Linked DNA regions of Notamacropus eugenii. Each later gene encodes a partner of the first gene's protein in a complex. Links are inferred from orthologs where the notes say so. Each region holds a gene or a part of one and is shown on either strand. Other genes may lie near its edges. The genes, in order: guanine nucleotide-binding protein G(q) subunit alpha, CASR, PLCB3 and CCKBR.

Evidence for each region.
Region 2: the proteins of guanine nucleotide-binding protein G(q) subunit alpha (region 1) and CASR are in contact, whole or in part, in a cryo-EM structure (PDB 8SZG), measured with the Homo sapiens proteins. The link is inferred for Notamacropus eugenii from reciprocal best matches to the Homo sapiens genes GNAQ and CASR. Residues at the interface, in NP_002063.2 of Homo sapiens: His63, Leu196, Gln197, Ser198, Ile323, Tyr325, Ile337, Arg338, Phe339, Phe341, Ala342, Lys345, Asp346, Ile348, Leu349, Gln350, Leu351, Asn352, Leu353, Glu355, Tyr356, Leu358, Val359; in NP_000379.3 of Homo sapiens: Lys644, Ala645, Asn647, Arg701, Val702, Leu704, Val705, Phe706, Ala708, Lys709, Ile710, Pro711, Thr712, Phe714, Phe801, Arg873, Thr876, Ala877, His879, Ala880, Phe881, Val883, Ala884, Arg886, Ala887, Thr888, Leu889.
Region 3: the proteins of guanine nucleotide-binding protein G(q) subunit alpha (region 1) and PLCB3 are in contact, whole or in part, in a cryo-EM structure (PDB 8UQO), measured with the Homo sapiens proteins. The link is inferred for Notamacropus eugenii from reciprocal best matches to the Homo sapiens genes GNAQ and PLCB3. Residues at the interface, in NP_002063.2 of Homo sapiens: Pro185, Thr186, Thr187, Ile189, Glu191, Pro193, Arg202, Gln209, Arg210, Ser211, Glu212, Arg213, Arg214, Lys215, Trp216, Ile217, His218, Val240, Glu241, Glu245, Glu249, Glu250, Ala253, Leu254, Arg256, Thr257, Ile258, Thr260, Tyr261; in NP_000923.1 of Homo sapiens: Pro257, Arg258, Leu259, Asn260, Glu261, Val262, Leu263, Arg707, Asp709, Lys710, Ile719, Asp721, Gly722, Ile723, Val724, Ala725, Ser845, Asp846, Tyr847, Ile848, Pro849, His852, Tyr855, Ala856, Ala858, Leu859, Ile860, Asn861, Pro862, Ile863.
Region 4: the proteins of guanine nucleotide-binding protein G(q) subunit alpha (region 1) and CCKBR are in contact, whole or in part, in a cryo-EM structure (PDB 7F8W), measured with the Homo sapiens proteins. The link is inferred for Notamacropus eugenii from reciprocal best matches to the Homo sapiens genes GNAQ and CCKBR. Residues at the interface, in NP_002063.2 of Homo sapiens: Arg30, Arg34, Asp35, Arg37, Arg38, Leu40, Ser198, Val199, Phe341, Lys345, Asp346, Ile348, Leu349, Gln350, Asn352, Leu353, Lys354, Glu355, Tyr356, Asn357, Leu358, Val359; in NP_795344.1 of Homo sapiens: Thr87, Val88, Thr89, Asn90, Glu151, Arg152, Ala155, Ile156, Pro159, Leu160, Ala162, Arg163, Val164, Trp165, Gln166, Thr167, Ile241, Leu245, Gly248, Leu249, Val331, Leu335, His394, Arg396, Phe397.

What each region holds. Positions count from the first base shown.
Region 1 is NC_092872.1:67,954,892-67,962,738, reverse strand, and holds the start of guanine nucleotide-binding protein G(q) subunit alpha, read left to right. Parts: upstream 1-4,759; 5' UTR 4,760-5,048; coding exon 5,049-5,184; intron 5,185-7,847.
Region 2 is NC_092876.1:343,420,419-343,427,889, forward strand, and holds the start of CASR (extracellular calcium-sensing receptor), read right to left. Parts: upstream 3,136-7,471; 5' UTR 2,568-3,135; intron 1-2,567. UniProt on the Homo sapiens protein: G-protein-coupled receptor that senses changes in the extracellular concentration of calcium ions and plays a key role in maintaining calcium homeostasis.
Region 3 is NC_092873.1:17,093,996-17,101,761, reverse strand, and holds the start of PLCB3 (1-phosphatidylinositol 4,5-bisphosphate phosphodiesterase beta-3), read right to left. Parts: upstream 3,001-7,766; 5' UTR 2,791-3,000; coding exon 2,692-2,790; intron 221-2,691; coding exon 143-220; intron 1-142. UniProt on the Homo sapiens protein: Catalyzes the production of the second messenger molecules diacylglycerol (DAG) and inositol 1,4,5-trisphosphate (IP3).
Region 4 is NC_092876.1:89,304,664-89,312,234, forward strand, and holds the start of CCKBR (gastrin/cholecystokinin type B receptor), read right to left. Parts: upstream 3,177-7,571; 5' UTR 2,039-3,176; coding exon 1,891-2,038; intron 1-1,890. UniProt on the Homo sapiens protein: Receptor for gastrin and cholecystokinin. The CCK-B receptors occur throughout the central nervous system where they modulate anxiety, analgesia, arousal, and neuroleptic activity.

The DNA.
Region 1 (7,847 bases):
GTGGGAAGTTCACTGCTTTAACCTCCAGCCCTCCAGTCAGAGGGAGGACGCAAATGAGGAAGTGAAGACGGTGGTGAATCTCAAAAACCTGAGTCATCTGCATGCTGATGAAGTGATCAGATTATCCAGGGGATAGAGGATAGGGATGGGGTGCCATTGGGTTTGGGAAGAGAGGAAAAAGCTTGCAACAGTAGCTGTGGCGAATGAGACAGGGAGTCAATAATGGAGAGCAGAAGGAATATTGAGTAGCAGTAAAGGTTTAACTGAGGTTATGAACCATACATTTGTAGTGGATGGAATCAGCTCAGTTTTATCACTTTCTCCAGCAATGCTCAGCAGCTTAGACGAAGTGGAAAAATCACATGACAGGAATTATCCAGAGACGAGAATTTGCAGGTCCAGAATGAGGGAAGGTTTGGAGGCAAAAGATTCTAGGGTAAGTGGTAACTTGTGAATCATTAAAGTGGCAGGTAAGGGGGCATGAAGGAAAGTAAAGACAGAGTGGGAAAGATGGAAAACAGGGTCAAGTGACCAAGGGTCATAACAAGGGTGAAGAGCTGATTTTGTGAATTGAAGGAGTGGGAGAGATACAAAGAGAGGTTAAAAGTTTCAAATCTTGGAGGTAGTAATAATAATTCTGAGAGATGGTGAGTGTATGCCTAAAGGAGGATGAAGAAGAAAACTATTGTAGTTGGGGAGGCTGAGTCATTATTTGGTCTTGTTGTCAGAGCAGTCTTTTCCTTAAACATTGAAGTATGTGAGGGTAATGGCAAAGGGGTGGGGTGGAGAGGAATACTATGAACATAATGCTTGTCACTGAGGAAAGTTGGAAGAATACACTGAAGGATCCATTCTTCACAGATGTTAGACATTTATCAACATATAAAAGTAAATCCTTTTAATACTTGAAAGAGGAAATACTTAATATTTAATTAATACTTAAATTAAATACTTACTTAATACTTAAAAGAGGAAAGGTCAGGGAGAGAAGATTGGTAGATAGATATGTAGAAGTTCAAGTGAAAAGGATCACGGGCACTGTTCCTACCAGTTCTAAGAGTTTGGAGAATGGAGAGGTTTAGAGGGATGTGCTGTCCTTAGGAGAGAGTCGATTTTAAGTTAAAATGAAGAGATAGAAAAATGTTGGTTGTCAAATTCAAGGATATACTGCAATTTATTGAATTTTGAGTGTGGTGTAGTGAGATTAGTTCTGAAGATGGTAGGTAGACAAGTGAGGTAATATAATTGAAAAAGCTTTGGAAACTCTAAATCACTATGCAAATTTAAAGTATCATTATTAGGCTCAGACCTGGAATTTTCCTTCCCCATGGAGAACTATTATTCTCTTTCTCCCTCTCCCCACCCCCCAGTTCAGTTTTGTTCCCTTTTATCTTGTTTTAATACTGAAGTGCCATTTTCCTCCATCTTAATACTTGTAACACACAAAGGCAGTCTTCATCTTGACTTCAAATACTTGTATAAGGCCCTGTCTACCCAGTCCTGAAACAATCATTCAATTTGCTTAATTCAGTCAAGTAATGGGTTAGATCAGTCAAAGTGGATAGTTTCATGCACTGGAGACTTTGTAATAAGTTTCCAATGGTCCCTGCTCCCTTAGATCACCAGTCATTGGTTTTTGTGGGTTCTTGATCCTCATTTGATTTCCTGGTCTTTTGGAATACACACACATGTACGTATGTACGTATGTATGTATGTATATACATACATATATACACACACATCCAGACACATACATATGAAACATAAATATATACAAGAACCATATATATGAAAGAAAAATCATAATTAAATTTTCTTCCCTGCAGTCATTCTAAAATTCTGCAATATTGAATTTGAATATTTAATCGCATTAGTCACTTAATTTTAAATTTTAATTTCTTATCATGTGTAGCAGTCATTTATTAGGGCTTTAGCAGTGCGGGAGGAGATATTTGCCTTCCTCATTGTCAGGCAAGATGGATTTTTATAGATCCCTTTTGTCTATGACTTAAAAAAGGCAGTAGGGAACAAGTGGAGCATGGGGCTGGTAGATCCGAGAATCTGAGAACTTGTCTGATTTTCTTCCTGACTTGTCATATATGGGGAGTGAGCAGGTTCCAGCCCCTAAAAACATTGAGATGATGTTTGTCACCTTGTAGAACCCTTTGTACAATTCTGCACCTGTGGGAGATTCCAGTGGTAGTATGGCAGTGAAATCTCTTGACATCCCAGGATGAACACATTAAAACAGAGAAATCTTCATGAAATAAAGCTTCAGTGAAAAAGGAAGATCCCAGGACACATATTACCCTTAAAACATCAGATTCCAGTAAGCAAGGAAGGAGTAGTTTCACTTCTTGAGCTGCTGGATCATCCAAAACTCGAAATTCACAGGAAGTCCTACCCTGTTATCAGTAGAGTATCAGGACAAAGTAGCCAAGCAACATCAAAACAGTGTCAATCAAAACTAGAGAAACAAGAAATGGGAAGAAATTTTGCTGGAATGAACGTTTATTCTGCTGTTTATTTTTTGTTTCATTGTTTACATTATTCAGTCACACATAATTTTGCATACTTAAAGAGCTAAGCTGTCATTAATTCTTTGTTTTTCGGGGAGAGGGAAAGAAGAGAGAGAGAGAGAGAGAGAGAGAGAGAGAGAGAGAGAGAGAGAGAGAGAGAGAGAGACAGAGACAGAGAGACAGAGAGAGACAGAGAGAGAGAGAGACAGAGAGATTGAGAGAGACAGAGAGAGAGACAGAGAGAGAGACAGAGAGAGAAAGAGACAGAGAGAGAGAGAGACAGAGACAGAGACAGAGAGAGACAGAGAGAGAGAGAGACAGAGACAGAGACAGAGAGACAGAGAGAGAGAGAGAGAGAGACAGAGAGATTGAGAGAGACAGAGAGAGAGACAGAGAGAGAGACAGAGAGAGAGAGACAGAGAGAGACAGAGACAGAGAGAGAGAGAGAGAGAGAGACAGAGACAGAGACAGAGAGAGACAGAGACAGAGAGAGAGAGAGAGAGAGAGAGAGAGAGAGAGAGAGAGAGAGAGAGAGAGAGAGAGAGAGACGAGGGGAGGGGGGAGACAGAAAAACAGACAGAGACACAGAGAGTGAGACAGAGAGACAGATAGAGAGAGAGACGGAGAGAGACAGAGAGAGATTTCCTAACATGTTCAAACGGCTGGCATGATTTCCAAACCAGAGGGGAAGCTGGTAAAAAAAAACACCAAAAACAATGAATCTCAGGGGCATGAAAAGTTACAAACGTTGCCTGTGAAACTCTCGGAAACTTCAGCAGTTTCATTTCTCGGCTCAGGATTTCATTTCAATCAGAAGTAACTTTGTGGAAGATTCCCCTCCCACCCTGCCGGTGGGGAATGAATTACAAATTTGGCCCCCCTTCAGCCCCACCCCACGATTCCAGTCGAAGTTTTCCAAGGATGGCCTAAAGGTGGAGGTGGTGTGAGGTGGTTTGTAATTCAATGGCATTTTTGAAACTAGGATCTTTTTTTTAAAAAGTATTTTTTGTAACGCTGCCCTCCAGGACAAAAACGCCCCTGTTCCTCGCGGCCATCGGGGGAGCGCCGCGCCGGTGGCAGACTGGCGGGGTTGCTGGGAGTGGTGTTTGCTTTGCAAGCCTGTCCACTGGGTTTGGAGGCTGGAATTCGTGGGATTTCCAGGAGTGTGTGGAACTAGCTGTATCTGTGTCTGGTGGGCAGAGAACCGAGAGCGAAAGCCGCCATATTTCTGCCTTACCACGCCCGGGAGGCTAAGCCCTGGCAAAGGCAGGTTCGCGGCCGCAGCTGCCGGTGCTGGATTCACACAGCCCACCGAGGGCGGGCGGCAGCGGGCGCGGCGGCAGGCGGTGGCCTCGGCAGCCCGAGCCTCAGCCTCCGGCCCTCCTGCCGGCTCCTCCCCCTCCTCTCAGCCGGGGCCAGCGGGCACAGCCCCGACAACCGGCAGAGGAGGCAGCAGGATCAGCACACGGAGAACCCCACGGGGAAGGGGTCGGGGAGGTGACGAGAAGTGGAAGAATCCCCGGCACAGAGACCCGGGAGGAGGCGAGCGACACCACCTCCTCCAGCCTCCAGTTTCACTACCATCCCCACCGCCGGCACCTCCTTCTCCTTCTCCTCCTCCTCCTCCTCCTCCTCTCCCCCGCGGGCGCCGCTGCTGCCGCTTCCCTCCCGGATCTGGGCTCCAGTTGAGAGAAGAAAATGTGTGTGTGTGGCGAGGGGGAGGGAGAAAGCTGATCAGCCACTCACCAGGGCCGGGGGGTGGGCATCTGGCGGAGAGCAGAGGAGGAGGGGGAGGGGAGGGGGAGGAGGGAGGGGAGGAGGGCCAGGAGGAAGAAGGGGGGTGTGTGTGGAAGTGTGTGAGTGTGTTTGCGCGCGAGCCCGGGGTGGGTGGGAAAGGGATCCCGGCGGGTGTCATCTCGGATCCAGGGGGGCGCAGGGGGAGTGGTGTCAGGCGGGGCAGGGGAGAAGGGTGCGCTCGGTGTCTGTGCCATCGCGGCTGCTGCTGCTGCTGCCCCTGCTGCCGCTGCTCCTGCTGCTGCTGCTGCTGCTTCTGCCGCCGCCGCCGCAGCCGCGAAGCTGCTCTGGTGGATGTTTCTGTGTGGCTCGGTGCATGATTTAGAAGAGGAGGAGGAGTTGGATCTAGCTAGTGACAGAGGCAGGAGGCAGAGGGGGTGGGGGGTGGGGGGAGGTGGTGGTGTTCTGTGAGAGAGGCCGGGGGAGCGGGCCTTTCCCCCTCTCTCCTCCTCGCACCTCCCGAACCTCCCTTCCACCCGCTGGTGCGTTCGGGCCCCGCCGCCGGGATCGGGCTTCGCCGGGCGTGCGGTGGGCGGCTTCGGGAGTCTCCCACCTTCCCCTCCCCTTCCCACCCTGCCTTACCCCGGACCCCCCTCCCACCCCCAGTCCCTCTTCCCACCCCCAGCCCAGGGGTTAGCTGCCGCCGCGGCCCGCGGCGGGGAGTGAGGAAGGAGCGCGCGCGCGCGTGTGTTTTCTGGGGGTACTGGGGGGTTGTGTCTGAAGCAGTTAGGAAGAATGACTCTGGAGTCCATCATGGCGTGCTGCCTGAGCGAAGAAGCCAAAGAAGCCCGGCGGATTAACGATGAGATCGAGAGGCAGCTCCGCCGGGACAAGCGGGACGCACGCCGGGAGCTGAAGCTGCTGCTGTTGGGTAAGTGGGAGAGCCGCCTCCCCTCGCTCCCCGCCGACTTCCCTTCCTTTGCCCCAGCCACCGCGGCTCCCTCCGCCTGCCCTCTCCTCCGCCTGCTTCCACCCTCGGGGCAGCTGCCCTCCGCACCCCCAGCCGCTGATGTGCTCCCCCAGCACCCCTCCCCCAGCACCCGACACATACACACATACACACAGCACACCACCACGCGCGCGCACACACACACGCACACATACACACACGCACACACACACACACGCACACGCACATACACGCACGCGCGCACGGTGCCCTTATGGAGTGGATCTTTCTGTATGCCTGCCCTACGCCCCCCAAGTCCCCCTTCCCCCGTCTTCACAGCTATCGTGGTGTATGTGCCCGGGTATATGCACACCCAAGGGCTATGCATAGTGTATGCGTGTGTATCAGATGTGGACACAGTGCAAATGAAAGTCGTATCATGGCAAGAGGGGGCAGGGCATGTGGATTTGGGGGTGAGGGAGGGGGAGTGAGAAATAGGGATTCAACTCCCAGTATCTTTGCCTGAGCTCTGTGGGAGCGTGCTATTTCCGTTAGGATAATTGGAGTCGGGAAATTGTGTTCGCGCACATATATCGCATCTACCGTGGATCATGTTCTATGTAGATCCCTATATATACATTTATGTACAAACATATTATCTATGTACAATAGATACTACAGGTCTGTGCTTCCCTGGGTGCTTGTATTAGGAATGCATTTTGGGGTGTAGGGAGGCTGAAACAGTGGGCTTCAGAAGGAGGTTCGATGTGGTGACATGGAGGAAGGGGATGGTGGTGGTGGCTCTCGGAAGCTAGGGCAAAGGAGGCTTAAAGTGAGATGTGAAAAAGAGGCGGCAAATGTTGTAAAAGAACTGAAATTCTTTTGCAACCTGGCGACTAGAGCAAGAGCGAGAGAAGATGAGAGCTTCTTGATGAAGGTTGGGGGGCAGGCTTCATTAGCTAGCTTCCCCGTCCTTCCAAAGGAAAGAGACTTGGGGTCCGAGGTGTTGGGGTTTGTGGTGGTGAGAGTGGTAGAGGTTGTTGATGTGATGGAAGCTTTTGGTTTCATGTGGCTTATCAGCCACATGAAGGACTCTCTTTAGAACAGGTCCTAACTGGAATCAAGAATCCAGTCCTCAGCTACTCTGTGGAGCAGAATAGTGACCTATTGTGTGTTGGAAAAATGACAGTGATTTAACACCTCTGGAACTGGCCCATTTGGGCCAGAAATAAAACGGGCAGAGTATAGGACAGTTTCCCATTCACCAGGGGGAAGAAGTGAACCTTCCAATTCTGCTCTGTTAAGGGGATTGCAAAAAAAATGTCCTTTCTCAGATAGGAATCTGTAGTGATGCTTTCTTTGGACAGTGTTTTAAGCATTTTAAAAATCAAGAGATTAGTTTTCACATGCAGTACAGTGTGACACAATTCTTAATTACTGTGACAGGAACAGTATAGGGCTTTGGAATAATAGGCCTGAAAAATGTCTGCCATAGTGTTATGGATACTTGTGTGTGTTGGAAATCCATTACATAAAATTTTGTGTTGGACAAAGATTACTGTTATTAAAGAGTCTAAGAAACACATATCATCTTATCTTGAACATTCCATCTTCTTTTGCAAAGAGCTATTCTGTTGTTGAAGCCCTATTGTTTATGTGCTGGATCAATTAAAGAGGAGGAACAAAATAGAATAGTGGCAGAAAGATACAAATGGTTAGTTATACATGTTGTAAAGAAGCAAGCAGAACACGTGATTCACTTTGGAACACGGTTAGACAGATTTGCACATGCTTAGTTTAAAGAGAATGGAAGGCAGAGGGACTGAAGGATAAAATGTGGGCTTTAAGGTAATAGAATGAGGGATGCAGAAACCAAGACTTCATGATAAAGACTGATTCAAATTGAGGGCTACTTTTTTAAGGGCTGAAATTGAACCAACTGGATAGATGAGATATTCTCTACAATGAGGAAATGTGTCTCTTGTAGAGCTGCCTCATTAGAAAGCATAAATGTGTCATTTTAAACTTTTTCATTTCAAAATGTATTTTTTCACCTGACCTGCATTGTGCCTTGAGTTGTGTCTGTTTATGGTTTGAACAGCAGGTTCCAGGGTTTCTAGCCCTTACTCTAGATAGTGCAACAAATGTTTCAGTGGCTGGACTTTTCAGGACTTTCTTGAGAAGAGCAGAGGGCAGACCGTGTAATGGCCTCAGAAACTTGTCCCAGAAGGAAGATTTTAGTTACTTGTAACTATGTATTCTATTTATTTAAATAGGCCTGCTTTGTTTTTAAATGAAAGTTAGTGGTGGTTTTCTAGGAGAGGGGAAGGGGAAGAAAACAATTCACATCTACTGTACTTCTCTGGACTAGAGGGTCTGGGGAACATCTGCTGTGACTCCCCCACCCCTCTTTTCCATCCATAAGTTGAATAAGCTTATTAGAATTCCCTTCCACCTAATTAAAATCTCCCCCTCCCAATTAGCAATAGTGGTGTAACCTGAAATTAAAGTTTAGTCTTTAAAATCATGAAGATTTAAAAGTTACATAGATCACTGTAACACGACCCTATAAAGTAGAATTGTCAAGTGATTTTTAGCTTCATATATATCATACATGATTTGTGTAACATAAGCATCCTAAAATA
Region 2 (7,471 bases), on another chromosome or scaffold:
AATATTATCCCATTTGGTCCTTACAACAACTTTGGGAAGTAGGTGCTATTATTATCCCCATTTTATAGTTAAGAAAACAGAAGCAAAAATTAAGTAACTTGGCCAAAGTTCCAGAGTTATTAAGTAATATTCATATGGTGTTTAAAAGTTTACAAAGTTCTTAGTGTAGTATCCCATTGAAGTCTCACAGAAGTTATGAGGAAACTGAGGCTCAGAAAAGTTGAGAGAGAGTGAGAAAGAGAGACAGAGTGAGAGACAGAGAGAGACAGAAAGAGAGACAGAGAAGCAAATAGATGTAGACTATAAATGTACACACGCCTATTAGTCTTTGGTAGGATTCTGAAGAATGACTTCATTTCTACAGAAAAGTGAACAGTAAAAAAAAATAGTTTTTGCCCAAATATTATAGAATAGCACCCATGCTATTCTGGTTTCAAGAAAACAGGAGAACTTTCTAAATCAGATCTCTTGTTTCAACTCCTCATTAATCTCCCACTTTGCCATCCACCCCAACAATTCCTCCCTTTCAATTTTTTCTCTCCTCAGCTAAGTAACACCTTGGGCTTATCCCAACCTAGGACAATAAATATTTCTTCCTTTTCTGCAAATTCAGTCAGTGAAGTCACTTAGTACAAGAACAAGTATGTACTTAAGACAGTTAGCCCTTGGAATAGCTCCCTGCCATTCAGAAAGATCACTCAGACCACTTTCTTTCTTCTTCTACTACTGCTCTCCCAGTTCATGAAACATTCTACGTTTTTCAGAAGCCCTATTCATTCCCACAGAATGCAGAAGGTTTCGTAGAAGAATCACATTCTAACAGATCCAAAATCTCAGTCTGGAAAAATAACCCCCTTTTTTATTGTCTTCCTTTATGTCAATCTAACTTAGAAACAAAGGCAAATGAAAAACAAAAAAGCATAAAAATGAGTAATGGTATAAACACAGGATTTATGGGACAACTTTTAAAAAAAATTTGGCCAGATCCATGATTTTATCTTTATGGGGAAATTCCTGTGTGAAAATTCCAGTGCAAATGTGTAACTCATCTGCAGATTTGTCCTCGGAAGACATGGGTCTGAACTGGTTCTGCCATTTACTAGCTATGTGACCTTAGACAAGTTACTTCCTTCCTCATGGCTTCAATTTCCTCACCTACAAAACCTAGAAATAAGATCAGGAGTTCTTAGATTTCAGAGGATCTGTGAGCTTGGATGAGAAAAATTACGCCCTTATTTTCATTAACCTTTAACTGAAATTTAGAATTTCCTTCAATCATGAATTTAAAAAAAATTATTCTGAGAAAGAATGCATAAGCTTCGCTAGCCTGCCAAGGGGTTAATTACAGAGAGAGAGACACAGAGAGAGAGAGAGACAGAGAGAGAGACAGAGAGAGAGAGATAGACAGACAGAGAGAGAGAGAGAGAGAGAGAGAGAGAGAGAGAGAGAGAGAGAGAGAGAGAGATTAAAAACCTTTTAGTTCTAAAATTCTATGACTGAGGAAAACTCATGTTTGGCCAAGTATTGTACAGCTGAAGTAGTTCAGAGACTTAGATTTAGAGCTAGAAAAGACCCCAGGGACAATTGGGTCAAACTCTTATATTTATAGATGAAGACCCAGAAAGATTGGATAATTTAATAACTGTCTGAAGCAGGATTTTAATTCAGATTTCCATGATTCTAAGTACACGTCGTGAAGCCTCTCAATTCCCACGCTCTGAAAGAGTAACAATATACTTTTTGAATCATATGGCAACCTTTCTTGGGGCTTGAAATTTCAATATTCCTTAAGACAGGTCAGGGACCACCTGCATGGGTGTGAAATCTGGCCCAGGAGCCCCACCAGTGCAGGGCCCAAGGAAAGAAGAGAGACTTTCTCTTCCTCTCTGGTGAAAGCCAGTTTATTTTGCAAATAGCCAAAAGAAAAAGAGCCCAGGAAAGCAAGAAGCTGCTTTTGCAATGGAAATCTACTTAATTTTTTAAAATTAAAGGGAAGAGAGGGAACTGGATAGAGACCTGGCATTCTAGTCAGAAAATCTAGGTTCCAGTTCTGCTGCTGACGCATCTTGGCCGTGTAAGCCAGATAAGTCCCTTATTTTCTTAGTGCCCTGGGCCAGACTTTTAACTAGAAGAGAAGGTGACAGACAACTTGATTTCTTAAATAGAATTCCCACATCTAGGAGATCCCTCTATCCAGTGAAAGCGCAGGTTCAGTCCCTGTCCTAGTCTAGCAATGGGGTCCCTTTCTGACATTTTTTTTTTGCGAGTTTGTCCAAAGGAACATAACTTCATAGCTCAGTTTCTTCATCTATAAAATAAAGCCTTAGTTCAGTGACAGTTAATAGATCAGCCCCGACAGTCCCCAGGAAAACCCCTAGTTGTACTTGGTGTCAGTTGTCTTAAGCGATCCCCGTTTGCTTTTATAAACTCGTTCTTGTTTTTTTCATGACTCCCTATAACCGTAAAACAAAACCCTTTACGCCCCTTCTTCCCCACCTCCCCCACCTTCCATCCCACCACCCTCTTCTCGCATCTTGATCAATATTCCTGCCCCTCCATTCACTCACCAGGCGCCCCGCTCCAGGGTTCCACTGCACCCACAGGTGGCCGAAGGTAGCGGGTTCCTTTGGTTTTTCCTGGCCGGGCGGATCCGAGAATGCGGGTTGGACGGCAGGTTTCTAGTACTAGGAAGGATTGACCGCAAATCCCCCTAGGCAGGGCGCGGGGATGCTCCTCCAGCACTGCTCACCTGGCTTCCTACACCTTCAAGTTCACTGCCTCTTGGGAAAGGTGCCGGCTCAGTCCTGCCTCCCATTCCATCTTATCCGTCCCTCCGGGTTGGCAAACAGCATCTCTTGCCGAAGCCTAAAAGTATTCCTCTCTCTCCCAAGCAGCGGGAGAGACAGGGAGAACGAGGCCAGAGAAAGCCAATCCCCAAGCAGGCTCGCCACCCTCACTCGGGCTCCTCTTCCCCAGCTCGTTGCAAAGCTCCGCCCCGCCTCCTTTCCTGTTCAGTGCGCGCTCTCACTCCAATGTGTTTCCTTCCCTCAGGCTTTCCCCTAAGTTCCCTTACTTTCCAGAGTCTCATTCTCCAAGAATCTACTGTCCTGATCCTTTGACTGCTTCCCCAGGTCGTCTCTCTGCCTTATCCAATATCTTGTCTGCCTGTCTCCTCGAACTTAGTTGGGTCCAGACCACACCTCCCTCACCTGTGTGATTCTTTCAGACACCAAGCAGTCTTGAACCCTCAACCAGTGCCAGCGCCTCCCTTATAGGGATAAGGATTTCCTTATCCTTTCTGTGGCCTGGGATTGGGCGCACGTTCTCATCCGAGAAACTCAGAGTGATTGCTTGCTTTGTGACCCCAGTTTCTGCCTGCTTCTCTAGGGTCCCCTGCTGCTTGCCGGCTTGCTGCTGGCTGAGCTGGCGGTCTCCAGCAATTCCAGCTGAGTTTAGCCGAGATGTGGTACCCAAGGGAGTCCATCCTCTCTCTGGCATGCTGCATCTTGTGAAAGTGTCTCTGCCTTGGGGAAGGACTCAGTTTTGAGTATCAGCAAAAAGGGAAGAGGGACTGGAACCCTGGCCTTGGAACTAGTGACTTTAGGCCACGAGTGGGGAAATATTTTCTTGTGAAGGACGTCAACGCAAAGTTTTCTAGGACTATTGCAGGAGGGGATCAGGGGAAATTGGGAGAAATAATCGAACTTGGTGTAGTTGAAAGAGCACTGCACCTGAAGGTAAGGAGACCTACCTTGGATTCGGAGTTCTGATATTTTGCTAGCTAAGTAACCACCTGTGAACAACAGCACGACTCGATTTCTATTCCCTAACGGGCTGCCAGGTTTCGTAGTGGACAGGGTGCCGGACCTCGAATCAGGCAGACCCATCCTGAATTCAAGTCCAGTCTCAGACACTCAACTAGCTGTGTAAACCTGGGCAAGTCACTTAACCCTCTTTACCTCGGTTTCCTCATCTGTAAAATGAGCTGGAGAAGAAACTGGTAAACCACTCCAGTATCTTTGCCAAGAAAACCCCAAATGGAGTCAAGAAGAGTTGGACACTACTGAACAACAACAATATATAGGATGGAAAAATAATACTTGCCCTATCTACACAGTGGATATTGTGAGCAACATCATTGTAAACTTTAAAATGCTATATGAATATGAATTATATAAGCAAATATACAACTTTACTTGCAGCAGTCAGAAGTAGTTCTATAACTCTTTCTATTTAAAACCATAAGTGCATGAATAATTCTTAAAACCTCCCCTTTTTAACTCAATACCTCCTAGGGGTCCTTACGCTACTAAGGCAGATTTTTAGAGAGTTTCCTACACCATGTAGGAAAAGAATAATGTGAAATGGTGGAAAGAGTAATGAACTGAGGGTGTCTGGAGATCTGGTTTCCCACGACTGATTAAGTGATGAGTAAGAAGGACATATCTAAACTATCTATTCAAGTGCAGGTCAGTTGAAATGGAGCTTACAAACTCCAGAATGACAAGAGAAATGAAATGGCTAGTGGTAATACCCACTTAAATGGATTCTGGGGAATTACTCGAGTCCATAACAACAGAGAACAACAAAAAGTCACTTCAGGGACACAAAGGTGGATTTCATGTCATGCTGAAGGGAAACAGATAAAACAGCTGGCAGTCAAGTATAACTAAAACGGTCACCAGATAAGGAATGGCTCTTGCTGAAAAGAGAGGCAGCTTGACTTTATCAAGACCTTATTTCCTTTTTGGACAGGGCTGCCAAACTGGTTGATCAGGGGAATGCTAAAGAGTTTATCTAGATTGCAGCAAAACATTTGATGACCTAGTGTTCTTTGTGGAAAAGATGGAGAAATGTAGAGTAAATAACAATCAATTCACTGGGTGTAGAATCAATTGAATTTTTTCCCTAACAATTAGATCTGTCCAAAAATGGAATGGGGACACCTGGGAAGAAGTGGATTCCTCCTCAGTGGAGGTCTTCAAAAAGGTGGATGAGCACTTGATGAGTATGCCTTTGGAGGTGATTTCTTTTCTGTTGTGGGTTAAAATGATTGCTGCTTAAATCTCTTCCAACTTTAAAATGCTGTCATTCTGTGAGCAAAGTAGATTGGGAATGGGAATGGAGAAGGAGAGAGAGAGAGCGAGAGAGAGAGAGAGAGAGAGAAGGATGGAGGGAGGGAAGAAGAAGAAGAAGAAGAGGAGGAGGAGGAGGAGGAGGAGGAGGAAGAAAGAAGAAGAAGAAGAAGAAGAAGAAGAAGAAGAAGAAGAAGAAGAAGAAGAAGAAGAAGAAAAGAGGGAAGTTGAAGAGAGGAGAGGAGAGAGGGAGAAAGAGAGAGGAAGAGACATAGAGAGAGAATACTTTGAAGTCAATAGAGAAGAAGAAAAGAAAGTATCTTAAGAAATTAATGAAAGGAAGATCAAAGAGAGCAGGGATGAAAGAACCAGTGCTGATAGAACCCAAGTCCCAGAAAAAACATAAACTCAAGTGGAGAAAATAGAAGATTCTGAAATACGGTATTTTCAAAGGTGTGAAAGGAGAAAAAAGGGAGAGAATTCAAAGGAAGTCTTAAAGGACTACATAAAATCACATAAACATGGTAGAGGGCAAATGTCGCCATTTCAAGATGTATTTCATGGGAAAACTGAGAAAACATAAACTAGATTCCTTTTTGGATGACCCAAAGCTGACTATGAAGTGGAAAGTTGATTGTGCCTGTAGTACATGAGTTTAAGATTCTTCAAAATGGTCAATAGGAGAGGGAAATCATTCCTAGTAGGAATGTATGCTTAGTGTGAATATTTGAAAATATGTCGGATTTTGTTAGAAGAATAGGTACTCAAGGGTCAGAACTGGAAGGGGAAATTCAGATGTTTGTGTGTGTGAATTCTCCTCAAAAGACCTAGGAAAAGAAAAAATAATCTTAAGTGATTTTTAAATGAATGTGGCACCTTTTTTTCATGGAATAAGAAGGATGGTGTTAGCTTTCTTTTAAAAATTATTTTTAAATAAGTTTTTTTTCCCCTTCTACCTCACAGTCTTTTGTGCATTTACCTTCCCCTATCATCTGAATACTCTTTTGAACCAAAACAGCTTAGCTAAAACCATCTATACTGTGACTGAATCTGTCTATCTACACACACAGACACACATGTTCATACACACATGCGCACACGTGCACACAAATGCAATATCCTGTCAATGTCATCCTCCATTTATTATATTTCACCAAGTTGTGATCAGCAATGGTTAATACAGTTAGTCACTCATAATTCAGTTTCCTTTTTAGTGACATTTTCATTTGCATTACTATAGTCATGGTGTTCTGGTTCTGATGAAGTCACGCTACATTGGTTCGTGTATGTTTCTCTGAATCCTGCTAAAATCGAGCAGCTAGGTAGCACAATGGATAGTGCTCTGGGCTTGGAGCCAGGAAGACCTGTGTTCAAATCCACTGTCAGACATTTGCTAACAGGGTGACCCAGTGCAAGTCACCTTTTCGCTTCAATTTCCGTTTGCTTCGCTGTTTATTTCACTTTCCTTTGTTTGCTTCACTTTCATCATCTGTAAAGTGAGGATAAGGTAAAGAGCATCTGCCTCCCAGGGGTGCAGTGAGGATCAAATGAGATAGTAATTTTTAAGTGCTTAGCACTGTGCCTGGAACGTTGTAGATGCTGTATAAGTGTCAGCCACTATTCCGCTTGTTTATTATACTGTAGTTTGCTTGGCCCTTCCTCAATTGACAGAGAAGATGAATAACTGCTTTATTTCAATTCTTTGCTACCATAAAAGTGCTTCTATGAATTATTGTTCTCTTTGATCTTTTGCTCTTGTTGTTGATGTTTTTACATTTTTGTTATTTGAACCTCAAATGAGCTCTCACTAAAGCACTATGATTGTTTTACTCATCCCTAAATAATAATCTGTCCTTTTCCCCACAGAGACTATTCCAAACCTCTTCTGTCTTCAAGCCACTCCCATCTTATCATCTGAGGACCTTGCTTTATACTTTACTGAGAAAACAGAAACCATTTCTTATGAACTCTACTTCTCTCTCTTCTCAAAAGCATAGGAATTCTTAACCTGGGGTCCATGAACTTGTTTTCTAAAAATATAATTAAAATTGTATTTTTATATAATTGGTTTCTGTTGTAATTCTATGCATTTTATTTTATGCATCTAAAAACATTATTTTGAAAAGGGGCTCATGGGCTTCACCAGACTGCCTAAAGGATCCATGACACAAACAAGGATAAGAACCTCAGAGCTGGAAGAGACCTCAAAGGCCATCTAGTCCAACCATCTTATTTTATATATGAGGAAAATAAAGCCCAAAAAGGTTAAGTAATTTACCCAAAGTCACACAGGTAGCAAATGACAGAAAGGCAGGGTCTGAACCCAGGTCTCCCAACCCTAAAGCCAAAGTTCTCTCCACTCTACCATGCTGCCTCTTATCCTCAGCCCTCCTTCT
Region 3 (7,766 bases), on another chromosome or scaffold:
CAGCCAGGCCGTGGGAAGGGTCAGCCAGCTTAGGAGGCCCCTGCCCTAAGGGCTTCAGGAATTTGGGGTAGGGGGCAAGGATCAGGGGGCTGCAGTATGGAGGAGGGGCCAGAGCAGCTGGGCCTCAGAAACACATGCATACCATGTTGGGTCCAGTCCAGTAGAGAAAGAAGCCATTGGGGTCCACTCGGAGTGTGACCAAGTTCCGACTAGAAGCCTCCTGGACAGTAAGGAAAGAAGGCAGTAAGGGGACAGGCCAAGGGGGACAGTCTGGTGACCAGACAGGACCTGGCGAAGACCTTTGGGGATCACAGTCCTACTGCAAAGACTTCTCTGGGATGGAGAGAGCTCCAGGTCTGGAGTCAGGAACACATACATCATCATTCGTTCAAATCCAACCTCAGACAACTAACTGTGTGACCTTGGGCAAGTCACTTCACCCTGCTTGCCTCAGTTTCCTGACCTGTAAAATGAGCTGGAGAAGGAAATGGCAAACCATTCCAGGATCTTTGACCAGAAAACCCCAAATGAGGTCACCAAGGGTCAGATGTGACTGAGATGACTGAACTCACTACAGCTCTGGAGCAAGGTGGACAGTGGCAGCAGGCCCAGTTTACAGAGATTAAGGGTCTTGCCCAGAGTCACACAGCCAGTTGGAGTCTAAAGTCATCTTCATAACAATGCTGTGGGGCAGATGCTAATGCTGGACCCATTTTACAGATGGGGAAACTGGGGCTCGTTGGAAGTAGAGTTGACTTGACCAGGGTTACCAAGCTAGCAATCATTTCAGCCAGGATTTCCAGGTCTTCCTGACCCACAAGTCTAGAGTTCTTCCATTCCTTCCTCCCCTCCCCCCACACACCTTTCCTACCAAACCTTCTGCAAAGATCTGTCCCAGACAGAATTAGGCTGGAGGGTCAGCCTCTGACTCTAACAGCAGTTCTGGGCTGTTAAGAGTCCCAGTCCCAGGGCCCTGCCCAGTGAGACTCTGATACACCAGGGCAGCCTAGGGGGGAACCACAAGTTTGAATTTGAATCCCCAGACTAGCTGTGGGGCTCAGCAGAACAAGAGGTCCCCGAGGGGATGGGAGCCAAGTACTCCCAGCTTCAAACCCCGGCCCCCCAGGGCTCCATCCCTCATTCCCCCTCCCCCATCCTCTGCCCCACCCCACCCTTGCTGCTGGGCAGATTTACTCAACCACGGAGGTCCGAGTAAACGGTACAGACCCCTAGGGTGGAGCAAAGGGAAAGGAGCAGGAGGAGGGGGAGAAGGGCCAGCCTGCCAAGTGCCAGGCCAGCAGGCGATGTCCAAGACCGAGAGGCAGCCCGCTCAGCCCCCAGTCCACGGTGACAGCGACCTCTGACCCCATAGGGAGCAGCTTGCACAGCAGGGGCCAATCCCAAGGACTGGGGGGGGGAGGGGGGGCGGTGTGTGTGAAAAGGTAACCTTTCTCCCCCAGGTGCTTTCTGTTCTCCGGGTCCCTGAAATCCTCCGCTTTGCCCTCCAGTCCTAGAAGTCGGCCTTAGCACGGTTGTGTTTATAGAACAAGGGGTCCCTTCGGATGGGGGTGGCCGTATCACGCATCCATTGCCCCAGACCTCATCGACTCTCCGCGTTCCTGCTTGGTCCCTCAGCCCCCCCTTTCAGATTCCCCAGTTTCCAAGGCAGCCCCCCCTCCCCCCCAGGCTCACTCCTTGGTTTCCACTTCCTTATTTGGGTTTATCACACCAGAAGGAAAAGGAGAAACTTTTTCTAACTTTCCTGCCCAAGGCCTCCCATGGGGGGAGGGGGCTCCCCCAGACCCAGAGCACCCTCTCCCGACCCCCTCCGCAGCACCTGATTGCTCTCCCGGCGGAGGGCCCCACCACACCTGTTACCTCTGGCCACACCCCCAGGCCCCCTCCCTCTGCTCTCCTGGCCACCCCAAAGCTGTAGCAAGCTCCCCCAGCCCCACCCAGCCGGAAAGGAAAAGGGAATTCTGCCAGGCCTCCGGCCCAGCTTGGCTAGGGAGGGAACCCGAGGGCCTGGAACTGGGGCAAGGTTGGGGTGCTTTGCGACCCGGGAAGGAAGCTGGCGGGTGGGAGCGGGCAGGGGGAAGGGGGAGGGTCCCGCAGGAAAGGAGGTGCAAAGGCTGTGGAGAAAAGGGTGGAATGGGGAGAAGGCAAAGGAGGAAGGCGAAAGAGCAAGGTACAAGCTAGCGGGGCGCCGGGAGACGGGGGACTCGCGCGGGGCAGAGCCCCGGGAGCCTCGAGCCCTAGTGTTTGGAACGGGGGTTGGGAGGGGGGTTCGACGGCGCCCAGACAGTGGCTGCGGCCGGGGGGGGCCCAAAGAGGCTGAGGAGATTTATTGGGGTTCAAAGTCTCTTCTCCAGCGAATGGGAGGAGCAAAGTCCCTGTTAGACTGCCCCGGCACAAGTTTTGGGGGGAAAGAAGCCAGACCTCCCTCCTCAGTTTCTGGGGGGTAGGAAAGGGGGGACTATGGGGACTGTCTGGACAGCAGCGCGGGACGGTCCCCCCTAGCTCCAGGGACTGGGGGGAGGGAAAGGCGACGTGGGAGGAAGGCACAACGAGGCCCTGGGAAGACGAGGCAGCGGGGGGCCCCGGGCGGGGGATCGGGGTGCAGAGGCCCGGCTGGGGGCCCCCGGAGGGGGTTCAGGGTGAAGAGGCCCGCCCCCCCCGCCCTGCGCTCACCTCGTCCCACTTGATGAACTTGCTGCCCCGTCGCAAGGTCTCGGGCACGGCCGGAGGCTCCAGCTGCAGCGCGTGGACCCCGGGCCGGGCGCCGGCCATGGCTCCCCAGGGGGCAGGGGCCGGGGGCCAGGGCGGAGGGCGAGCCGCACCGGGCTGGGGGCTCGAACCCCGACGGTCCCGGTCCGGGTCCGGCTCCCCGAGCCTGAGCGCCGCGGCGGGGGCAGCAGAGGAGGAGGAGGGAGGAGGAGAAGGAGGCAGCGCAGTCCTGGACTTTCTCTCGGGGCGGCCCGGGCAGGGCGGGGCGGGGCCGAGGTGGGGCGGGGCCTGATCAGGCCCCTCCCCTCCGGCTCCGCTGCCTTCCCAGAACCCAGGAGTCCAGGGCTGGAATGCGGCTGGGGCAGGAGTCCTCGCCCCCTGGCGGCCAGACTCGGACGGCCCGGTCCGCAGTGCAGGGATCGGTTCCAGGCTTCTGGGGTCCCGGCTGGGCTCTCCGCCGGCTCGCTCCTGCCCCCACCCCTACCTCCCTTCGCCTCCTCCTCTTCCCTCCCCCAGCCAGCCCCCTACCCTCTATCCTTCCCCTTCCCCCCAGCCATCCCCCAGCTTTTTCTTCCCTCCTCCAGCCAGCCCCCTACCCTCTATCCCTCCCTTCTCCCATCCAGCCATCCCCCTACCCCTTTTCTTCCCTCCCCCAGCCATCTATCCTCCCTCCTCCTCTCTTCCCCAGTCATCCATTCCCACCCCTCTGTCCCTCCCCTCCCTCAGCCAGCCATCCCCCCCAGCCCTCATCTCCAGCCCCCCCCTTTCCATGATCGGAAGCACTCAGCTGCCTCATGGCCCTTTCTCCCCACAGAACCTCAGAGGCCCCGGGAGCTCCTGGTCCCCAAGCCTCAGTGCTACCCCGAGAGCCCAGATAGTGTGAGGCTGTAACAACTGGCCCTCTGTTCCCTCTGCTTTTCTTGCTAAATTTGTAAATCACTGGGTTGTGAACCAGAGAAGGAGGTCACTTGCTGCAAGTCACACCGCAAGAAACTGAAAGAACTTTTGGAACCAGTCTTCAGATCGCATGGCCCAGCACTCTACACCAGGGACGCCAGACCCATCCAACCTCAGGCTTCCTCCCCAAGCTAACCCTAGTGTTTCTGCCCCATCCATAGTCGTCCTGTGGGGAAGGGGACACCACCCCCAAATGGTCTAGCCCTGAGGCCCTGCACCCACAGGGGAGGGGGTCCGAAAACTCTGGGGACCCAGAGAAACAATGGAGTCTTAAACTTGGGTGTGGGTGGGTGTGTCTGTGGCAGCCCCCACCCGAAGATTCTGGAAGCCACCTAAAAGGTCTAGCCCAGGAGCTTCAGATCTAGGGCTAGACACCACCCCTGCCCTCCAGGAGCTAATGACCTAGGAGGGAAAAAAGCCCTCCAGCAGAAAAATAAAGGGTTGGGGGCAGGGAGGGGGTTAGATGGGCAGGACGATAGCGCCCCTGCTCGGAGCGCATCTGCCTGTGGGCCCCCGCCCCCGAGCCAGAGCTGGGGCTGCCAACGGGACAGCTCTAGAGGGGCTGAACACAAATTCTGTGCAGGCCACAATTTTACCTAAGGCTGGACCTAGAAACCCAGAAAGACAGGGAGTTGGGGAGAGGGGGAGGGTGGCAAGGTCTCCAGCTGCAGAAGCAACAGGAGGGCTCCTGCCTGCAAAAAGTTCCATGCTGGGGGGGAGGGGAGAGTGTTGTACTAGGCCCCCTCACCCCACTACTTCAAGACCTTAGGCCAAGTTTTTGGCCTCTCCTTTTCTGTAAAAACAATAACAACTATTCCTCCCATGTCTGCAGTCCCTTAAGGTTTGCAAAGCCTTTTCCCAAGCACAACCCTTTGAGAGAAGTATTATGGGATGATTATCCCCATTTTACAGATGAGGAAACTGAGGCCAACAATGACTTGCCCAGGGTCACACAAACTTGTCTGAGGTCCAATTTGAATTCAGGTCTTCCTGACTCCAGACTGGGAGCTCTATGCACTATGGTGCCACCTAGCGGCATCTCAAGAAAGACCTGGTTTCAGGTGCTGCCTCTGAAGTATTCTGACTGTATGACCCTGGACAAGTCACTAGCCCTAAGCTGCCTGTTTACCAGGCCTGCTTCTGTGCGACCTCAGGACACTCCTGAGGTCATAAATGGCTGACCTATTGGCTCGGCAGAAAGCCCTAGGATCCCCCAGGAAGTGAGAGTGCCTTGGGACTCCCAGGGGAGGCCCCTGTCTGGGAGAGGATGCTCTGCACCCTCCCACAGGGCCTGGCTCCTTCCTTTCCTCCCTGCAGGGGAGGTGCTGTTGGGGCGGTTCCCGGACACAGCTAACCACAGGGTTCCTGGACCTCAAGTCCAATTGCTTCCAATTTTCTTTGCTAAATTGCCTGCTGTTAAGCATCCCTGTTTGGCACCTACACATCAGAGCCTTCCCAGATGGAGGGACCTCTGAAGGCATCTCCATGAACTGACTCATCTTTCCGGAGAAGGAAACTAGGGATAGAAGAATTCTCATTCCTCCTGTCCTCCCCTGCTGACAGCAGCCCTCTGTGGCAGGTGCGGCCATGCCCATTGAGCAGAAAAAGAAACTGAGGCTAGAGAGGCCAAGCCTGTGCCAGAGCCAGGACCTGAAGCAGTTCTTCCGGGTCGAGTCTGGCCTTCTTGGGACACCTTGATGATGCCCAGCTTGGTGAGGAGAAGGCATCTGGACAAAGCTGCCAAGGTTAGTGATAGAGCTGGGCCTAGAAAGCCCACTCAGATCTTATGGACTCTGAGGCCAGGACTCCCGGGGAAATCAGATGCTAAGGCAGGATGGAGAGAGACAGCTCCCAAGCCACTTCAGTCTGTACTGGCATCAGTCCAAAGACTGAAAGGAAATGTCCTGACCTGGGGGAGCTTACATTCTCCTGGGGGTACAGGAGGGACTTGGACACAGGCTCCAGGTTAGAACTGGGAGATGTCTTAGAGATCATCCCATACAAGCTGCTGGGAGAAGGTTGGGGGTCCCACAGCCAGGAGCAGGGCTTGAACCTAGTCCTTCTAAGGGAGAGATTCCTCCCCAACACATCCAGCCTACCTCCATGGCTCCCTCAGTCCCACAGCTTGGGGTGGATTAGGCCTCTGGAATGACCAGACACAATTCAGTTAGTAGTAGAAGACCAGGTAAGGCTAAAGACTGGAACCACGCCAGAGAGATGAAGATGGGGTGGGGATGGGGGGAGGGGGAGGGGGAGAGGAGCCAGAGACACAGAGAGAGAGAGAGGAGAAGGAAGGGGAAAGGAGAAAGGGAGGAGAGATGAGATTCTAGGTTCCAGGAATGCTAGCTCAGGGTTCTAAGCCCAGTCCAGAGGGTCTGGGAAGGAACCAGGATTTAGACCCAGTGAGAAGCTGCCCTGGGCAGAAGCAGCAGGTTCAATTAGTAGAGTCAAGGGAGACAGGTGAAAACTCTGCCTCTGCCACTCACCACCTATGTAATCCAGGTCAAGTTACTTAAGAGCCTCAGTTTCCTCAGCCTGTAAACTGAGAGCATTGACCTCGACAGTCTTTATGAGTCCTTCAGGCTCTAAGTCCGTGACTTTAGGAGATACTTGGGTGACCTGGGGTAAATCTCTCTGCTGCTCTAAGTCTCAGTTTCCTAGTTTGCAAAATGACCATCTTTAAAACCTTTCCATCTCTAAATCTCATTAAGGTTCAGGGAGGCTAGGGAGGGGAAGGGAGGAATTTTCTGGAGTCCCTGAGAAAATGGTGCCCTTAGCAGATAGTTGAAGAGTTAGTGTTAATTCTCTAGTGAAATGGGTCCCAGGGGGATTACCATTACAGGGCTTTTTCTTCTCTGGACACTTTGTCAAAACCCCGGTAATGGTGATGGGCATCCTGGTAATGATGGAAGAGAGAGGCCTGGTGCCTTCCAGCCTCAAGAACCCCACCCAAGTCTCCCTAGAGCCTCTGGCAGCTAAGCATTCAGCCACATTAGCAAGATAATATGAGGATGGGGGAAATGGGGGGAGACTGGAGCTGAGTAAATCAGGATGTGGGAAACCTGGCTCTCTTGGGGAAGTACCAAGAAACTTTGAATCCATTTGCCTGGTTCCTGGAATGGTCCAGAATGGGAAGATGCCTGGGACCAGATACAGATAAAAGGAAAGAATTGGGAGTTGGGGAGAGAAGTAGAATCAGGATACTGGGGTGGCCCCAAGGCCTGTCCCCATGGATGAGCCCAAAGAAGAGGATTTCTAGGGCTTGGAGCATGGGTAGAAGTGGAAAGCATGAAACCAGAGGAGGGGTGGGAAGGTTCAGTCACACTGTCTTGGAACATTAACTAGGATGGAGTATGAAGGAGAGGAATAACTGAAAGAGGAAAAACGAGGGATTCTTGCTGCCTTCCAAGAACCAGGGTCTGCACTGGGCCGGGGGTAGCGCCCTTTGGCACAATGATGGACTTGCTTTTTGTTTACCTGTTCTATCTCCACCAGAATCTTCTCAAGAGCAGAGGCTTGGGTGGGGGGAGTTGAACCCCCAGTGCTTAGCACAGGGCCTTGCATGCTTAAGAAATGTTTGTGGCTTTTTTGGAGTGAAAGTGGAACCCTGAGTCCAAAACCATTTCACAGATGAAGAAACTGAAGCCGAGAATTGAAGTGACTTGGCCCAGGTCAGGCAGCTAGTCAGAGTCAAGATGAAAATCTAGGTGCTTAGCCCCCAAAGTCACTGTTCTTGCTCCTCTCCCACACTGCCCCTTTGATGGCAGCAGAACAAGCACCCACCCAGACTGGGCATGACCTGCCCAGACAACACTCAGGTAGGATTAGTTCCAAGTCCAGGGTCTAGTCCTCGGTTCTGGCAGATTGAGGAGGTCAAGGTCGGCTTAGAACATCAACTGGACTCTTCCCAGGTCTGGAAGAGCCTTCCTGGGAACCAGAGGGTCAAATGATGAATTTATAACCAGAGAGAAAACCAGAGTGCAGCATCCATCACCTGGCCTGGGCCTCCCTCCTGGAGGCCCTGAGCTGGAGGCTCAGCCTGCTCAGGAGGCCCAATTGAAATGAAGCAGGAGGTTGCTTAG
Region 4 (7,571 bases), on another chromosome or scaffold:
ACTAAGAGGTGAAGTGACTTACTGGCCTCCTGATCACACAGCTAGTCTTTGTCAGAAGCAGGACTTTAAACTGGGTTTTTCTGGATCCAAGGCTGACCATTAGCCCATACTAGTACTATCACTGGAAATACCTTTAAGGTTGGCAAAATGCTGTAATACAGTCTCATTTAACCTGCATGACAACCCTCTGAGGAGGGCACTCTAGACTTTTATCCCCCTCATTTTAGGTTAGTTATTGATTCAGAGCTAGAAGGGACCTTTGAGGGCATCTAGTTCAACTCCTTATCATGTAGATGAGGAAATTGAGGCCTAAAGTAGCTAAATCTCTTGACAAAGATCATATATTAGATGGTGTCAGAGGAAGGATTCAGGTCTCCTCTAAACTCCAAATCCACCATATTGTACTGGTTAGGGGACATGCCAAGGGAACAAGGGGAATTCCTCTGGGGATCTTTGACCAAAGTGATTCTTGGACCAAAAAAAATATTGAAAGCTTCTAGTATGCCTCTATCCATCTCTGTATCTTTCCTCTATCTTCATCTGTCTAAGTAACTAATATATTATTTTTATTTATATCACATGACATATGTAGCACTTTATGATTTTCAGTTGTTTTTGGTTTTTTATTTACCATTCATTCAAACATCCATTCAGTGAGAGATATAGCTGCCCTGGGAAAGTTATATGTTCTGGATAGAGAGATAAGAAAATAACAAGCAAGGACAAATTAATTGCTCAATTTCCATAAGCCCCGAAGGATTCCCAGATGAAGGGTATGAATGAAGGGGAGTCGAATTGGGAAGGCACCTTGGAAAAGGTGACTCAGGTCTTCCAGGAAATGAAGGATGGTGATTGAAGTGAAGGTGAAAGGCACCAGGGGTAGCAAAGAGGCCAGGAGCCTGTGGAAGGTAGAAGGGGGTTCTGAAGGGGAGGGGCAGAGAGGCCAAGAACACAAGGAGGATCAGCTGGTGGCAAAAACTATACAGAGGTGGATGAAGGGGTGTGGCAGGGATGCCACAAGGTTGTGTGGGGAGATGGAGAGAATGGTAGTGACATGGGAGGCCAAGAAGCCAGGGGAGATGAGGAAGAAGGGATTTTGAATGAGATATTTGAGGGAACTAAGCTCAGAGTAACAGGAGTGTATGTGAGAGGAATGAGCAGTCTTGGAATGGGGATGGGGTGAGCGACAGACATGCTTTTGTAGAGACAGGCTGCTGGGGGAAGGGAAAGAACAGGACATGGGACAGGGAGTGGGGTCAGTTTCCAGCAAGAGAAATGTTTTGAGGAAAACCCTGGGGAGAAAGGTCCCAGTTTCCAGGGGGAGGGGGTCCGAAAGATTTGGAGTTCAGTGAACAGGGGTATCCACTCCTCTCAGCCTCTAGTGCCTCCTCAGCTCTGGCAGCTTCTTAGCTTCAACAACAGATTTAGTGTGTGTGTGTGTGTGTGTGTGTGTGTGTGTGTGTGTGTGTGTGTGTGTGTGTGTGTGTGTGTGTGTGTGTGTGTGTGTGTGTGTGCGCGCTCCATTTGGACCCTACACGCAGAAAGCTTCTAAGTCTTTGCAGATCACGAATTCTCCTTACGGGGTTAGCCCCCTGATCAACAGCGCAACTCCCCTTTAGGCTCACAAATACTCCTCTAGTGCTCTCTGACAGTCTTGCCATCCTACCCCTGCTCCTCCCCTCACCCCACCTCCATGATCTTGGGCTTTGCATTCTGGAGCTTGTGGTAGGGTCCCTGGGGCATCAGGGGTAAGGGACATGCAGAGAAAGCTGGAGAAAGGAGAGGTGGGAAATGGGGGTTGGGGCCCAGAGGGAAAGGGTCCTAGATGAAGGGGACACGGGAATGGGAGAGAGATGGGGCCAAGAGGCATCAAAGAAGGGGAACACTTACCTCGGGGCGTCCTGCTGGCTCCAGAGCCTCCTCGGGGAGATCCGCAGCTACTATTGGCACCGCTGTTAGCACTGCTGTTGGGGGACAGGGGCCCCGGGCCGCACTGGGACTCTGGCTCTGGCACGCTCCGATTCAGCTCCAGCTCCATGGCCCCAGGGTAGAGGCGGGCCTGGGACAAGACCCTCGGAAGACCGGGAACCTAGGGGGCCGTTTCCCACCGCTTCCACCTGCTCTCGCGTCTGTCGCTTCTGTGCCCCTGACCTGGCCGGCTCTGGTGTGTGTCCGCTCCGCCCTCTGCCTCCGGCCGGCACCTTGCGCTCCCACGCGGATTTCTCCCCCTCTCTCCTTGCGTCTCTCCGTCCCTCCCTTTGCGTGTGCCTCTCCTCCCGTCTCTCTACCCCTGGGTCTCTCCTTGACTCCCCGCAAATCTTTTCCCTTGGCTTTCTCCCAGTGTCATTCGATGCCCTGTGTCTTTCTGCCTCAGCTCCCCCAAACCCCTAAAATCTTCCTCCCCCTTTCCAGGGGACTCCCAGCCTCGTTCCCTCCGCAGCGGGATCTGCTGGTGCTGGGGCTGGGGTGGCCTGGGGAGCCCCGCCCCTCTCCTCCAGAGCTAAGCAGAGCTGGGGTCCCGCCCCCCTCTCTGCAGCGCGGCCGCTCGGCCTGGGGGTGGGCGTAGGGGGATGGAGGTGCTCTATACTGCTGCTCCAGCCCCAGTTTCTGGAGGGAGTCAGGCGCGGGGCTGAGGCTGCCACTGCTGATGGGGGACGGGGGGAGGCAAGGAAGGGTGGTAGGAGACAAGATCTGACGTTTTAATTGTACTGTACTTCAGCTATGCTACCGTATTGACCTATGGGGCACCAAAATGTAGAGTGGGACACCAATGAGTCGTGTTTCATTTGGGGGCAAGTGTGAGGTGCGGACTGGGAGCAGGGAAGGCTCACAGCCATTCACTTAGAATCCTGTGTCCCAGCACACCCCTCTTATAACTCCTGGCTGTCCCCAGTAGTACCCCTAGAGACACAATGACATCCCAAGTCCCAATAATAGCTTTGCTCCAAAGACATCTGACTCAATAACAGCCACTAATGAAATCTCAGTGACAACCTATTCAGTGACACCTCTGGACTCAGTGATACCTTGGCCCCAACGTCATAACCAGTCACACTTCTGGTCCTAGTAATATTAGAGCCACAGTAACACCCCCAATGACAGACCAGGGCGCAATGACACCAACTCAAATAGTCCTTTACAGTAACTCAAATACTCTTCATCAGCGGATAGACTTCAGGGAGCTGAGATGTAGTAAGGACTCTGACCTTAGGAAGGACTCCAATGAGTGGAAATTTCCCAGGGGCAGAGTACCAGTAAAAGAGGAGTCCCTAGCTCCCTTTGGCACCTGGTAGTGCCAGTGCTGCCACCACCACCTCTCCCCTCCCTCTGTTTGCTCTTGGGAGCAGGTGGAGATGTAGATAACCAGCCTGGGCTTCCCACGGGGAGGAGGGTAGGGCAGAGGATGGGAGGACAAAGATGAAGCCAAAGTGGGTTGGGGGTGAAGGTGATGGGTGAAGTGAGGAGAGGATGGTGACCCCCAGCATTCATCTCACCTCCTCTAGTATCACAGGACCCATCCTGGGCTTGTTCAGTCTCCTTAAAGGTAAGAATGGGTAAGCTGTCTTGAAAAAGAGGCACCAGATCCTAAGGACTGAGAAGACAGGGGATGCATTGATGAGAAAAATAGGAGGGGGTGCCAAAGGGATGGAGATGCTTGCCAGGTCCTTGGCCTCCAGCCCTATCTGTGAGGGCATCTCCCCCTCCCCAACCCTCTCCTTAGTCTCTTCATCATCTCCTTGGCTCCAGGGATACTGTGTCCTTCCTCCACCCCTCCACCCCCATCTTTCAGGGAAAAAAGCCCATTAGTGTCCCTTCCCTCATGATTGATAGCCCCCAAAGACTGAGGATTGATGGGACTGAAGGGATGGGCAGGGTAGAAGGGAAGAAGGGCAGGGATGGGAGGATGGGAGCAGTTTAAGAATTCCAATTCAGAAGGAAAGTTGTGACCCAGGTAAGTTGCAGCAGGGAAGGGCAGGAAGTGAAGAGAGCTGAGATGCAGCTGGGAGGACACCTACTCTGTGGGAAGGATGCCCACCTTACTTCCAGACTTTGTCCTAGGCTTAGTCCAGTGTCTCCTGGCACTGCTACCTCACCCAGCTCTGCTGACTCTCAGATCCTAGGGCCTGTAGCCCTATTTGCTCTAGCTAAGGAGTCCCAGGTGGAAATACTGATAACCAGCAGATATTTTCCCATTGAGAAGGGGGAAGGGTGAATGACATTGAAGGAAGACAAATTAAGGAACCTGGGAGTATGGGACAGAGTTTAAGGGCCTAGGCAGGAACAGAAATGAAGGAGACTAGGGTGGGTGTGGGGGGCGAATGAGAGATGGGGATGGGGGCATGAAGATTGAGAAGAGACAGAGAGAAAACAAGAGTTAGAGATTTAGAATTTAGGGAACAGAAATGATGGAACCCTTAAATCATAGCACAGCATGAGGTTCAATCCAATTTGGCTCACCAATTTGTTGTGAGCTCAATGCAAAATAGAATGCCCTGGGCACTAGAGGGTCAATAGCTAACACAACAATCTCTCCTCTTAAGGAGCTTGTATTTTAAGAGAGAGAGATCTACACAGATAGGTAAATATAATGTAATATGAGGAATGATAGAGTCAGGTCAAGGAATACTTCACTGAGAAAGAGGCACATAACCTGATACTTGAAAAAAAAAGATAAGTTATCTTAAAGACAGAGGGAGATGAGAGCCCATTCTGGATGTCAGGTACAGCTTGCAATAATGTACACCTAAAAACTGGGTATATGGGGTGTTTAAGGAGAATTAGCACCTCTAGTGTGAGGGCTTGCCGAGTCCTTTTCAGGGCTATTCATCCACCTTTGGTGTCCATCTGGCACTCAACTCTCACCTGTGGCTCCAAGAAGCTACAGTATGTGCAGTGGCCACACCCTAGTAAAACTGTCTCAGTAGAGACTCTAAACCAGGTTTTGAGGTTAACCAACAGGCCTCAGACCTATCGATGAGTTAGGGGGTGTCTACCTCACATATGTGAATACTTTTCTTGGTGGAATGGGCAATTTGTTTCAACGACCATGAAGGTGGCTGAAGCAGGTGCTGTGGGGAGCTTAGAGCTTGGTCAGACATGGAAGGTGCCAAGGTCATCCATTGCATCCTGGGCCATCACCAGCGGTCTTGACTTTTGTCTTGCCACTGGATTCCTTTGACTTGTAAGACAGAGTAGAGCTGACGACTTTGTATAACTCTAACTCACTTAAATCTAATTTTTGCACAAGTCAAGACATCACCTCGTGATGTCATTGATCCTCTTCAAAAATGAAGGACAAACAACAACACACATAGATGATGGAATTAAGAGTACCTACAGGCAACCTTTGCTTCTATGTGGGTTACTCCAGACAAGATACTTCAAGTTAAAGGACTCTCTCTAAATTCACACAAAAACCATAGTTATTGAGCCCCCTAATAATGTATTTACTTTTACTAGTCAGCCAGAGGAAATGTTTAGTTCAAAGCAAAGCTATTTAATGAAATAGCATAGGAAGATAAGTAGTAATAGAACATTTCCCCCATAAACCTAGAGCATACAAAAATATGTATTCAAGGTGGGAAGAGTGGACATTCCTAGGACACTTGTGTGGACAGGGCACATTTATGGAAAGGCTTCTGATGTGTCAATATTGCCAATGTCTTCTGGTGATATCATTAACCCGCTTCCATTGGATCTGCTTTCCAAAATGTCTTGTATGTCTCTCTCTGTTCAGTGGTACTCCATTGGGTATGTGGTTACTGCTAGGTACTGTTGTACTACTTCTTTCCCTTAAGAGGGAAAGTAGATTCTATCTCTTTTAGCTTATAGCCCAGATAATTAAACTTCCATTTAAGTGAGGGCATCAAGGTCTTTCATATACCTAATATAGATTAGAAAAAAAAACAAACTCTTGGATGCCTCTTCTCCAAAAGGATCCATCGAATCTTGAAGTCTGACTTGTACATAGCTTTTTTCTACACAAACATGGTCCTTCTTTCTAAAGTCCAAGCTCTTTTGGAACACAGAACAGCTAGACAGCTAAGTAACACCTACAGGTACTTGAAAATTCTGCATCTGGAGCTGAATTACAGTTCATTGGCCCAGCAAACTATTTGATTTAGGGTTAGAAATTCTTTGTAATCTCCTGCTCAACTCCTTTGGGAGATACTGTGCTTTCAAATGACATTTTTTTTCATGGGAAAACCTTGCCAAGAAATTTCACAAGAGTGAGATAGGTCTCAGGTACTATAATTTCCCCAACCATGCAAGATCCTTTAGGTTTCCCATTCAAATGAAAGGGGGAAGGAAGGGGAAATGACAAGAACAAAAACCCTAGATAGAGCAGTATTGTGAAGAGGAATTGCCCTTTGCTTCAACCTATCGTGTGTGTGTATGTGTATTCAGAAACAAACTTCTTAGTCTTTGAGCCTTCCCATAGAATATTGAATTTGAGGAACAGATAGCAATCTATTTGTGGGAAAAGATCAAGCTTTTATTAGTTGCCTATTAAGTACCAGGCACTGTGCTCAGTATTTTACAAATATCTCATTTGGCTGGAAGATAGAACTATTAAGGAGAGTAAAATTAAATATGGCCAGAAAGGAGGCAAGTAATATGAAATATAGCTGGAAAGGTAGGTTGGAACAAGATTTGGCCTCCCTGAGTCCCAACTTCTGTGGGTTAGAATCATAACATGTCCTGCTGCGGGCCCCTCATGAGATCATTGGATCATTCACGTGCCCCTACAGCTTCTCTCATTATCTTTGTGATCCCTAGGACAGATAGACTATGTCAAATGACCCTCTCAGGCTTTGACTAGAGTCATTAATACACCTAATAGGTTTGAATGCACATATGAAGCCCTGATACTGCAACCCCTAAGATAGGAAGGAGGAAATAATCAATCATTAAGTGCCTCCTATATGCCAGGCACTGTATTTAGCATTTTACAAATATCTCATTTGATCCTTCAATAACCCTGGAAGGAAGGCACTATTAATATCCTCACTTTACAATTAAGGAAATTGAAGTTAAGTGATTTGCCCAAGGTCACATAGCTAGTAAGTATTTGAGGAAGGACATGAACTCAGGCCTTTCTGACTCTAAGCCCAGTGTGCCATCTACTGCCCTACCCAATAGCCTCTTAGCCATACCCCAGATAGGAAATGGACCTATGATTTCCTTGATATAGGATACTCGAAGGGGAAGAGGAGAGGAAGAACTCCCTCTATAAATTCAGGTTGGCATTTTCTCTGCAGTTTATAGTCTTAGACTGTAGACTCTTGGCCCTCGAGAACTGAGATGTTAAATGACTTGCCTAGGATCAGGTTCTGTCAGGTCATGCCAGGTCATGTCAGAGGCAAAACTCAAACCCAGATCACCCTGACTTCAAGGATGTCTCTCTATCCACTCTGCCTGTTGCCTCTCAGACCTAAGACTACAGAGACGAAAATGGAACTAAAAGTCTTCCTGCAACAGCTAATAAGGTGATGTTAAGTTCCTCAGGGACCCTAGAGTTGATAACAAGTAGGAGGAACTGTGAACCTGAGCTCATACAGTATAAACAA